Linked DNA regions of Elephas maximus indicus. The protein of the gene in region 2 interacts with the protein of the main gene of each other region in a biochemical or structural test. Links are inferred from orthologs where the notes say so. Each region holds a gene or a part of one and is shown on either strand. Other genes may lie near its edges.

Region 1 (3,750 bases), on a different chromosome or scaffold from region 2:
GATAATTTACAGCATTTTAAAAAAATGAATGAAATGTACACATGCAAAGAATTACACATATAATCCTTGTCAATGAATTATTGAGCAATCCTCAAAAGTAAACAGTATTTCTGTTAATATAGTGATCTCCTCTGTTAAAGTGTAACTATTTTGGTTTAAAAATAACCAAATGAAATGTAATTGTATCCTTCTGAATTTTCAAACCAAGGCATTTTTTTTGTTGTTGTTGTTCAAACTGGACTCACATGCAAATACATCAAAATAGTAGTATGTTGTCAACTGGTAAAATTTAATGTGAAATATAGCCCTGTGAATGTGTCCATTTTCTCTTAACAAACCCACTATCATGTAGCATAAGCATTACCTGCTGATTTTAAAATTCACTATAATAAAGTCGTACAGGGTATGTTCCCAAAAGGTTAGCTTTCTTAAATTCGAATTAAGACATTAAAAAGATATTTAAATATCTATGACAAAACAGAGAGTAGGTTGGCCTTGCTTCATTCCAGAATTGTCTCTTTGCTTTTCTTTTAGAATTGGCTTACACACAGGTATATGAAAGTATGTGTATGCATGGCTACATATATAGACACAAAAAGCACACACAAAGAACGAATATATGTTATATGTTTTTGTCATTGTAGTAAGTGAATGATTTTCAGTCAGAAAGCAACACTGATGCTCATCAAATTAATTTCTAAAATAAGGTAAAAATATCAGTAAATGCTCCACTACGAGACCTGGGAGCAGCTAATACAAACCAGTAAACAATAGTAATTTATTCCTAGAAATCTTTCCCAAGGGTAAAACTTCTGTTCTATTTCACCAGAAGCTGTGAAGAGTTACTTACTTAGAGAGATTTACTTTTTCATTCTTAATTATGGGTGTTGCTCTTGTACCTATTTTAGAGTGACTGGAATCCACAAGTCAGAGATAGAAAAAAAGAAAAAAAAAAAGATGTGTCCTTCATCCACCTCTTTGGGACACACTGTTCTCACCATATATTATTTTTATATCCTATTTTCACCGTAGTTAATTTCTAAATTTGGCAGAAGTCATCGTGACTTCCTTAAAAATAAACATAAATGTTGTATTTTAAATAAAAGCCTGACTATAGAGCTAGGCCGTCATAAACATGAAACAATGAACTGACTTTGGTAACTTTACTGCAAAATATGATTGGAAGTCCTTCACCTTTATGTTGTTTTCCCAAGAAACAGAGTACATGGTCATTTGGCAATACAGATCATATCAGCATTTGAAAGAATTCTCATGAAATGCTACAGAAAAGAACGTTCATAATACTAAATGTAATATGAGAAGGGAGCTTCTATTTAAATCTTTATCAATACTTTTCCCAACCTCCATTTCTCTATTACAATTCATTGTATTCTTTATTTTTTTTCTCCTCTGATCTGCCAGATACAATTTTCTAACCTCGAGGTCCCCACCTCATTCCCATACAACAATTAGTTCATGAAGAAGATATGTCAGGTCACTACCCAACATGTAATATATAATATTACATGTAAGCATTACTAAATACAGAAGTATCAAAATCATCAGGATAATAACTCAGAGACACAAACTATTTCACAGCAATCAAAGCGGTCTGTTACAAGCACTCAAAGCAGTGATGCTTATTCTATTATTTTAGGAGCTTCTTAAAATAAGAAAGATGTGTTAGGTGCAATTTGCAAAGAAAACATTTTGAATTCTACCTCCTTTCTGTTGAAAAGTTTTCTCAATGAGAGGTATGTACACCTTCACATATATGGCTATGTACAGTATATATAAGACAACATTTATGCTTATTCACAGACTACTATACTAATTTAAAATCAATTTGCCTCATCAGTGAGCTTGTCACAAACTAAATGTTAAGCCATGGCAAAAGATATTTTTAGTTACTTTGTACTTACAACAGTCCTCTACTTCTTCCCACCAAAGCATTTGGAAAATAAGTATATATCAGGGCAGCGATAAATATCTTGGTAAAAATTTCTTCCAACTTTATTGCTCGAGTAGGCTTAGGAATGATGAGAAACCAATAAACTTCTGGAGCCTTAAAAAAATACTTCAGTTTTCCTATCCGTTTCTCTCTGAAGGTAATTGCCTCCAAGATCTGAGCCCTGTAGGGGAAAAGTGAGTGATCCCAACACTGAGTGAGTCAACATAGTGACTGGTGCCAGAATTCTGTAGAGGCCTCTGGATACTTCAAATTCCAGGACCTGCGCAGAAGCAAGTGACCCGCCTTTCCCTCAAGTTGGTTTCCCATAATAGGACTGCCCATGGACACTACATATAAGGTTGTTCTTCCAGCATGGCAAGTCCTGTGAATTCAAATAACGTTCAACTGTATTCTGGTTAATATCCAAACCAGAACAGCATAGTGGACAGAGAACTTGTTCTCCAAGACTTCTCAACACAAAAACTGCACATTACAAAAATGTAACAGTATTTTCTGTGACTTTTTTTTATGCAGTTTTATAAAATAACAGAGCAGAATAGCCTGATCTAGAACTGATTTTTAATGTCTCCCCCCCCCTCCCGCCCCCATTTCTGAACAACACTAAAAATTTCACTCTACTGACACAAAAAGAAATGCCTGGAATAATCTATGCATTTGTTATACATCCAGTGTCTACAAAAGGTAATTTCTACCGTTGGGAACTAATCAAAAGCCATGTATTGATGATCCCAACAATCTGAATAAGAAAAGCAACAGACGAATGTGGCAGCTGATCTCTGAACGCAGAATGTATGTAGGTCTCCCAGGACTAGTTTTCTGCTAAAATAAAGAGCACTCTTACAATGGAACGAAGAAATCCCAGTTGCAGGTTATGATACAACTTCTTTACAAACAAATTACTCTTTCTTCAGTTTCTTTGGTGACAATTATTAAAACACCATTCTCTTAGACATTAAGTTAAAGATCAATTATTTAGTGGCTCACAACAGAGGTTTCCTTTTGTGTTAAACGAGCACAGTTTTAACCTGTCATTCAGGATGCTTGTAAATCGTTCGTTGCCAATACAAAGCTGCTTCTTTTTCTTTATTATTATTGTTTAATGAGACAGGTACATGCAATATTTATAGAAAACATTAGTGACTTTTTTTGAAAGATATTATTTTTGATTATACTAATCCCTGCCAAAATTATTTGAGTGTTGTTTTTTGTTGTTGTTGTTATTGTTAGCTGCCGTTGATCCGGTGTTTCTCTAGTACCATTATTAAAGCGATGCACTCATTTTTCTATGACAAACATTCAATTGCTTGGCACAGAAATAAATTATAGAAAAAATTGATATATTAAGATATTTACCAAATATTATAAATATTATCAAATATTTACCAAATAATATCAAATATTATTATGATGATAAGAATATCATCATAATAATATTTCCATTTTCCCCAACAAAACTTTTATATAGGTTGTCCCTGGATTACGAACATCTGACTTACGTACAACATGTAGTTACAAACCAAGCCCTGTAAAGCCTATGATGTACCTACAATGCTTTATAATAACAAATGGTACTACTTTGTGACACACATCAAAACATTATTATTACTATATTATTACGTTAAAGATATTTTAGTGTATCTGGAAGTATTTCTTTAATGTTTTTTATGCATAGAAAGATACATTATATACTGACAAACATCTGCTAGCTGAAATTAGATAGCAACTGTACCTAACTGTTCTGTCTTAAGGTATAAATTTGACTTAAAGACAGGCTTAGG
Region 2 (3,750 bases):
GTGGTTAAGAGCTATGGCTGCTAACCACAAGGTCAGCAGTTCAAATCCACCAGGTGCTCCTCGGAAGCTCTATGGGGCACTTCTACTCTGTCCTATAGGGTCATTATGAGTCGGAATGGACTTGAGCGCAACAGCTTTGGTATAATAGGGGGTATTCCTAACAGTAGCTACTCCATGAGGCTACTGTAAAGATAACACATGAAAAATTCTCAGTGCTAGGCCTGGCCAATAGACAGCATTCGATAAACGAAAGTGGTTATATTGATAGCACAGTAATTCACAGCCCACAATGTGTTTTCACATCAATTTGATCCTTACACAAGGCTTGAGTCTGGCCATTTCACAGATGAGGAAACTAAGGTTCAGAGAAGTGAAGTGACTCGACTAAGGTTGACATGGAGCCAACAGAGTATCTGAGCTGGAACAGAAAACCAAGAGCCCACACCCATAGTCCAGCCAAAAGTCCTGGGTTCTCCTCCCGCCAGACTTCAAAGTGCAAGACTTCAGGCTTCACTGGGGCTCGACGTACTCAGTCAAGAGGGTTAACCTCTGAAACTCGCCTCCAGTTTCAAAGCGTGAAGCGTGTTCACCCTCTCGCCAAGCCCTAAATACGGCTGTTTCGCGCTTATCCCATGGGCGGGGCTCTAGAAGTCACACGCCACACTAAGCCACGCCCACATACAACTCCCACCCACCCCCAACCCAAACGGGAAACCAGCCCTGTCCAAGCTACCCCAGCAGCAGCCCCAACTGCAAAGACCCTCTTGGATCGGCGTTCACCTCTTAAAATCAAGCCCTGAACTGGAGTCCGGCGCTCCGCCCTACGCAGCCCTGCCCCGACGCCCACAGCCTCGCCCGAGGACCCGTGCTGTTGCCCGCGTTCTTGTGCGCCCACCTTTGTGAGCGACGATCCGGGCCTTCGACGGCCTTGAGCAGCGCGGAGTCTCCTCCACTGGAACCAAGGGCCCCGTCCCCGCCATGAACCCCGCCCCCTGCATGGCCCGCCGGGACACCCGCACCTCGCCGGCTCCTCGCCTCCCTCGCGGGCCGGCTGCCCAGTGGGTCCCACACTGCTTCGCCCCGCCCCGGCCTCCCGCGGGCCGCATGGGGCCCCGCCCCTAGCCGCAGGCCCCGCCCACAGACCTCCCCGCCCCAACTTCGAGTCACGCCCACAGACCACCCCCCCAGCTGCGGGCCACGCCCCACAGGTCGCCCCGCCCCAGCTGCGGCCACGCCCGCAGATCGCCCCGCCCCTGAGGCGCTACCCGCGGCGGCCGGGCTAGCGTGGCGGCTGGCCCAGCCGGGCCCCGCTGCCCTGTGCCCTGGGCGCTCGGTCGGAGCGGGCCGGCACGGCGGGGCCGGGCGAGCGCGGCGGCCGGGGGCCCCGGAGGCGAAAATGGCGGCAGGCAGGCGCGCGCCGCGCACCGGGCTGCTGGAGCTGCGCGCCGGGGCAGGCTCGGGGGCCGGCGGCGAGCGGTGGCAGCCGGTGCTGCTCAGCCTGGCGGAGGACGCTCTGACCGTGAGCCCCGCCGACGGCGAGCCCGGCCCCGATCCCGGCGCCCCGCGGGAGCCGGAGCCCGCGCAGCTCAACGGCGCCGCTGAGCCGGGCGCGGCGCCCCCGCAACTGCCCGAGGGGCTCCTGCTCCAGCGGCGCCGCGTGACAGTGCGCAAGGCCGACGCCGGTGGGCTGGGTATCAGCATCAAAGGTGGGCGCGGTGGCACAGAGGGCACAGGGTCGTGGTGTCTGTGGGGCCGCCGGAGGCGCAGGGGTCGTGGAAGCTGGCGGCTCACTGAGGACATGGATTTGGAGGCCTTCAGTCTGAGGGAATGGGGAATCTGAGGGAGCTGAGGGAACCCGGGGCATGCGGAGCACCAAGGTCGGACACTTAGAGCCCCTGACAATGCAGGGGAGCCCCTGACAGTGCAGGGGGGGTCGTCAAGGACCGGAGGTCTCAGGTGTCAGAGAGGGCTAGGAGCGCACCAAGGACATGTGGGTGGGGAGTTCTGTGTGGAGACATAGGGACCTGAGGAGGGCAACTAGCATGGGCACCAAGGACAAGAGGGGCAGCTGGAGAGCAGAGGGTGGAGAAAGGCGAGGCCTCGGACACTACTGGGGTGGTGAGGGGGAGTCCCTGAGACATCACCAAGTGGGGGCAGGGCATGGGGTCTGGGAAGGACGGGGGCAGAGAGCAGACGGTGGAAACACAGGCTTCAGTCACAAACAGGGCACCACAATGGACCTAGAAATCTGAGGAAGGCTGTGCACCTAGCCAGGGGGCCCTGACCTCTGGGCTTGAATCCTGATCCGACCCTCCCCACCTTGCACAGGATTGACAGGGGCAGACCCAGAGTTGCTGCTCCTCTGTGAGCTCCCAGCCCCCAATACTGACAGCCTTCTTTGGGGCTCAACCAGATTCCATTTGAGTCCAGGATCTGCTGTGTGAACTTAGACAAGTCACTTCCCATCTCTGGACCTCAGTTTTCTCAACTGTATAATGAGGATAATGATAGGGTTGTGATGTTTCTTTGACACCAGATGTCTAAAGTGTTCACCATGGCAGCACATAGTAGGTGCTTGGTTAGTTACTGCTGTTAGATGAGAGGAAAAATGGAGGCCAGAAGAGACTCCAGAAACAACTAACCATACTGCTTAAAATAATCCCTGCATACCTTCAGCTGCTGTGCTCACCATTCCTGCCTGTCTGTTTCTTAGGGTTCCAGCCCCCGTATCACCTGAATGTGTACTGTCCTCTCTGTTCATTGGTGCCTTCAGACCCTTTGGCCTGGGTGTGGGTATGAGGATGGAGGTGAATGCCACCATTGAGTGCCAGGTACTGTAGGCTCAGGATCTACTACATCCTGACAACAGTGATGAAGGGAAGGGAGTATAACCCCCATTTTGCAGGTGAGGAAACTGAGACTCAGAAGGTGAAGCGATTTTCCCAGGGTCACACAGTGAATAGCTGAGATTTAAACCTCAGTTATGAGGCTACCATCCCCCTGCCTCCTGCTCCACGTAGGGAGTGCCCATTAGCATTGTTTCTTTCCTGTGGAAGGGTAAGTCCCCAGGCACCCAACAGTGGGTGTCTAAAAGAAGGGAGTGGGGAAGCCAGGGAGCAGGCACTAGCTTTGCCCCCAAATCCCAGCATGGCATAGGGCAAGTGGGCCAATCCAAAAATTGTACACTCAGTGTGTCAGAGAAGGAAGGAACTTAGAGTTTATATAGAGTTCCATTTCTCAGATGGACAAACCAAGACCCAGAGAAGAACAGAGGCTTTCTAAGGTCACATACAGTTACTCCCTAGTTCCATGCTTCCGGGTGGGTAGGAGGGTACTTTTAGGAGGCTCAGGGTAAGTACTAGTTCCATCTAATTCCTGTGGTTGCCATGGTGACTGCCCTTCTAGGGTCCAGTGCAGCTGCAGGCAGCCAGGAATGATCATGGCTTCAAACTGGATTAAAATCCCTAGTTTCAGGTCAGAGAGGCGCCCCCCGCCAAAAAAAAAAAAAACACCAGTTTTGTTCAAGTCCAACTCACAGTGACCCTATAGGACAGGGTAGAACCACCCAATAGAGTTTCCAAGAAACACCTAGTAGATTTGAACTACCAACCTTTTAGTTAGCAGCTATAGTTCTTAACCACTATACCACCAGGGTTCCCAGGTCAGAGATGGCAGCAAAGATAGAAAGCCCTTCCTCTCCTAGACCTCAGTCTGAGCAGTTTGACAGGTAAACTCTTGGGCTTGTGTGGA
Region 3 (3,750 bases), on a different chromosome or scaffold from region 2:
TGATTTCAAGAGCTCAGAGATAGCTAGTCTGTACTCCAGGTGTTTTCCACACACATTATTTTATCCCTCACAGTACCACTTCAGGGTAAGTACCATCAATCCCATTTATGAATATGAAAACTGAAGCTGACATTGTGAGAATTACTCAATCATACAAATGTGCAGAACCAAGTCTGAAGTCTAGATCTGACAACTCTAAAGGTAATCATCTTTTTCCACTCCTCAAAAAATGTTTGGTGTATGAATGCAGAATTAAAAGCAAATTTAGGAGACTTCTTCCCCTTTCAGATCCTTGATCCAGGAATATATTCTGGACACAGGACATTTCCTTAGATCACTATACCCTCCTTCCCTTCAGGAGAGCTGGAGGCCAAAAATATAAGGCAGATATTATTTTTTTAAAAAAAGGAAGTAAATGCATGTCTAGAAATAAACTGAGCATTTACAGAGAGATGCACCAATTTCAACACAGAAAAGGGTGTTAAAATTTCAGATCACTTCAATTTCCTCTTGTGGAAAAAAAACAGTACAGAACTGCAAACTCTGGCTGTGAATATTTGCAAAGAAATGTTTCCAACTTGATGAGTTGTTACACAATACACTGAGTTGCTTAAGGTAAAAAATATCTTCCCTTTCACTGACATTACTCAGATGCCCCCTCACTTAGATTGGTTTTAATGTAATGTGCTCACAAGCAGAAAGCTGAGCTAGGATTATTTCAGCAAGGGTCACCTTGTTCAACCCTCATCTGCCCTCTGGAACTGCCACCCAGTTCTGATTTCTCAGCCACACTTCCCAAATGCACACTTAGTACTTGTGGTTTCAATGACACAGCACATTGAATCTAACGCAGCAGCTAAGTTTGCGACCTTCTGAGCTCACTTTGGGATTAACCATAAAGCGTCGAGTGCCAGGAAAGGGGAACTAATGCTCACGATTTTCTCCGGCTCAATCTTTTTCTCATTGCCTCATCATTTACCCGCTGAGTCTCCTACGGGGCCCAGGAAGGGGAAAAAAAAAAAAAAAAATACGGGGCCCAGGAAGGGGAGATGACTTGAAATATTAGTTTTCCCAGTGCCACCAACGCGCCCTCAAGTAACAAGCCCAGTTCTACTTCTCCAGGAAGGGTAGTCAATAAAACACTTGCAGAGAAACCGCTCCTCGTTCCCTCTCCTGTGCTGGGTGTGTGTATGTTTACTGTTAATTTCCCTGGAGTAGAACTACAAAATTTCCTTCCCAGCCCTACCAGGAAAGTGGCCTTGGCTTCCACCGCCCTTGCCAAGGCAGTCCGCAATCCTTTTCGCGGAAATAGCAAAGAGAAGGAATCGGAGCGCGCAGTTACGCCGCAGCATCTGCTGAGAGGCAGTTCACACGTGAGCGCCCTCGCCAGCCTATCGCGCCACCTGGCCGGGCCTGATGCCCCCTGCGCTGCGCTGCGCTGCGCCGGGGAAGACCGGCACGGGCCCTGCAGACGTAGGCCCTCTTTAGCTGCTTCTATGGCAGCGTGCCCCGTCTGTCCCGGCGCCCTCCTGGCCCCCACACACCTTTCCATCCGCCTCCGCCTCCGCCCCCTCCTTGCCTTCCGGGATCCGAAAAGGAAGAAAGATGCCTCCCTGATAGCTTCTCTCCTCCCAGCCTATCCGAGCCGCCCCAACAGCTGAGGTCAGCTGAAGAGAAGACAACCCTTACACCTCTAACCACCCACGTCCCAAGCTTCTGCTGCCAGGACGCTATCCCGGGTTGCACGTGGGCCGGGGCGGGATGCTGGTGAAGCGCGCGCTGGGGGCACGCAGAACGGGAAACAGCCTCCAGTCTCACGGGCCAAGGATGGGGGGGCGCACCGCGCCGGCAGTCTCCGGCCACGCACAGAGAGGGGGACATCTCCTGGTCAGAAACACGCAGGCGCGCGGGACTCCTCTCCGCCCGGGACCCCCCAAGGGCACACCGCCGAGACCAGGGAGCGCCCGCGCCCGGCTACGCCCCCGCAGCTCCCACGTCGCTGTCGGCGCTGCTGTCGCTAGCTCTCCTCCGGCGGCAGCTTCGGGCTTTTTGTCTATATAAGGGCTCGCTGGCAAACTTGGCGTTGGCGCGTTTGTCGCAGGCTGGCCATTATTTTTACACACGCGCGAGGCTTCCCGGGCGGCTCCGGTCGCAGTCCCACGCTCGCCTTCCTCTGCGCGGGCGCCTCCTGCCTCCTCCTCCCTTCCTTCCCGGTGTACTTACTTTACTCGGTCTCTGGCATAGGATGGGCGCTGCAGCTCTCGGGTCCCCCAGCCCAGCCGCAGCCGGTTCGCCTCGCTGTCACCGGGTGAATGGAATTATTTATTTATTTATGTCCCTTGACGTCTCCTCGCCGGCCGTAGCTGGAGGAGGAGGAGGAGGAAGAGGAGGGGGCGGGGAGGGGAGGCGCGGCTGACGAACGCCCTTGTGGGTGCCGTGGAGCGCGCGCCAGGGGGAATGGATGGGGGTTGGGGGAGAACGCTACTGGCTTTGCAGGAGCCCCACCAACCGTCGGGGGAGGAAGCCGCCCCTCAGTGACTCAGGGTGGACTGAGCATGCTCCAAGTGGCTGTCACCGCTACAGACACTTTATGGCTCGGGGCGCTCCACTTCGGATTTTAGTTGTGACCAAGAGAGAAAGCCAGAGACAGGTAGAGAGATCTCCTGTTCCTCATAGCTCGTGACACGCTTTATCTCGAGCCTAACGTCGGAGCCAGCGGTGAGGTAGCTCCGTTTTAGATACCCTAGGGAGACGTGCCACCTGTAGGAGACGAAAGCTTGCAATTGCAGAAAAGCCTGGAAGTGTGTTTGGCGGCGAAAAGATCCTCATTGTGAGCTTGGAGGGAAAGTGTTGGGACGTATTTTAATTGAGGGTTTTTGTTTTGTTTTTTAAGTAAGGAGAAGTAGGGGATTAGGCTCACCAACCAATTCATTCAAGAGAAAAAGAAAATGTACCGCAAGATCAGAAGAGTATAGGAAACCATAAAAGCTTAAAAATAGCAAAGAAGTGGAGGGAGGCCATTTGTAAATAATTAATTTTTAGGATCCCAAATATTTAATTCCTCAAAATAGAGCTAGCTATTTGACAATCAATAGTGCTAGGGATAATAGTAATTCCGCAGTCATTGGTTTGGTTTCTTTCCCCTTTATACATATATGTGTGTGTGTGTATGTGTGTGTATATATATAAATTTTTTTTTCTCCCGTGCCTGTATGTTTCCTGGGGAAGTTGGAAAAGAGGAAGGGCTGGAAACGAACATTTGGGTAACTCTAAAAGGTTGGACCCTTATGACTGTTTTTAAGGCTGAATTGTTATTTGTAGAAAAAGGAACTCTTCTTAAGAATAAATGTGGGCTTGGATTCCAGAACTATTGCAGTTTTTCTGCCAATTTTCCTTCCCCCACCCATTCATCCTCCTAAAAAATGAAAAAGGTAAAATGGTATGTTAATCCTAGATACTAATATAACTCACTCGAAGTTTGTAGGGTTTTTTCTAAAACTTAAATCTTTTATGTGAAGCCAAGGCAATTGAGCGAAAATAACCTGAACTTTGAAACCTAAGGGACTCAGAATCAAAATGGTAGCAATAATTATTACACTGATTTATTAAGTGCTTATCATTATCAGGGCTCCTGAGTGGAGGAAATGGTTAAGCACTTGGCAGTTTGAGTCCACCCAGAGATGCCTCATAAGAAGGACCTGGCTATCTACTTCAGAAAAATCAGCCTCTGAAAACTTGTGCAACACAATT

The links.
Region 1: the proteins of SNTA1 (region 2) and DMD form a complex in vitro, tested with the Homo sapiens proteins (2 studies listed by BioGRID, with this or other methods). The link is inferred for Elephas maximus indicus from reciprocal best matches to the Homo sapiens genes SNTA1 and DMD.
Region 3: the proteins of SNTA1 (region 2) and SLC16A7 interact in a test that uses a peptide from one of them, tested with the Homo sapiens proteins (3 studies listed by BioGRID and IntAct, with this or other methods). The link is inferred for Elephas maximus indicus from reciprocal best matches to the Homo sapiens genes SNTA1 and SLC16A7.

Annotation. Positions count from the first base shown.
Region 1 is NC_064846.1:143,369,662-143,373,411, reverse strand, and holds the start of DMD (dystrophin), read right to left. Parts: upstream 2,180-3,750; 5' UTR 1,954-2,179; coding exon of another isoform or gene 1,923-1,953; intron 1-1,922. UniProt on the Homo sapiens protein: Anchors the extracellular matrix to the cytoskeleton via F-actin. Ligand for dystroglycan.
Region 2 is NC_064843.1:36,116,691-36,120,440, forward strand, and holds the start of SNTA1 (alpha-1-syntrophin), read left to right. Parts: upstream 1-1,284; 5' UTR 1,285-1,396; coding exon 1,397-1,706; intron 1,707-3,750. UniProt on the Homo sapiens protein: Adapter protein that binds to and probably organizes the subcellular localization of a variety of membrane proteins. May link various receptors to the actin cytoskeleton and the extracellular matrix via the dystrophin glycoprotein complex.
Region 3 is NC_064822.1:119,688,498-119,692,247, reverse strand, and holds the start of SLC16A7 (monocarboxylate transporter 2), read right to left. Parts: upstream 2,367-3,750; 5' UTR 2,224-2,366; intron 1-2,223. UniProt on the Homo sapiens protein: Proton-coupled monocarboxylate symporter. Catalyzes the rapid transport across the plasma membrane of monocarboxylates such as L-lactate, pyruvate and ketone bodies, acetoacetate, beta-hydroxybutyrate and acetate.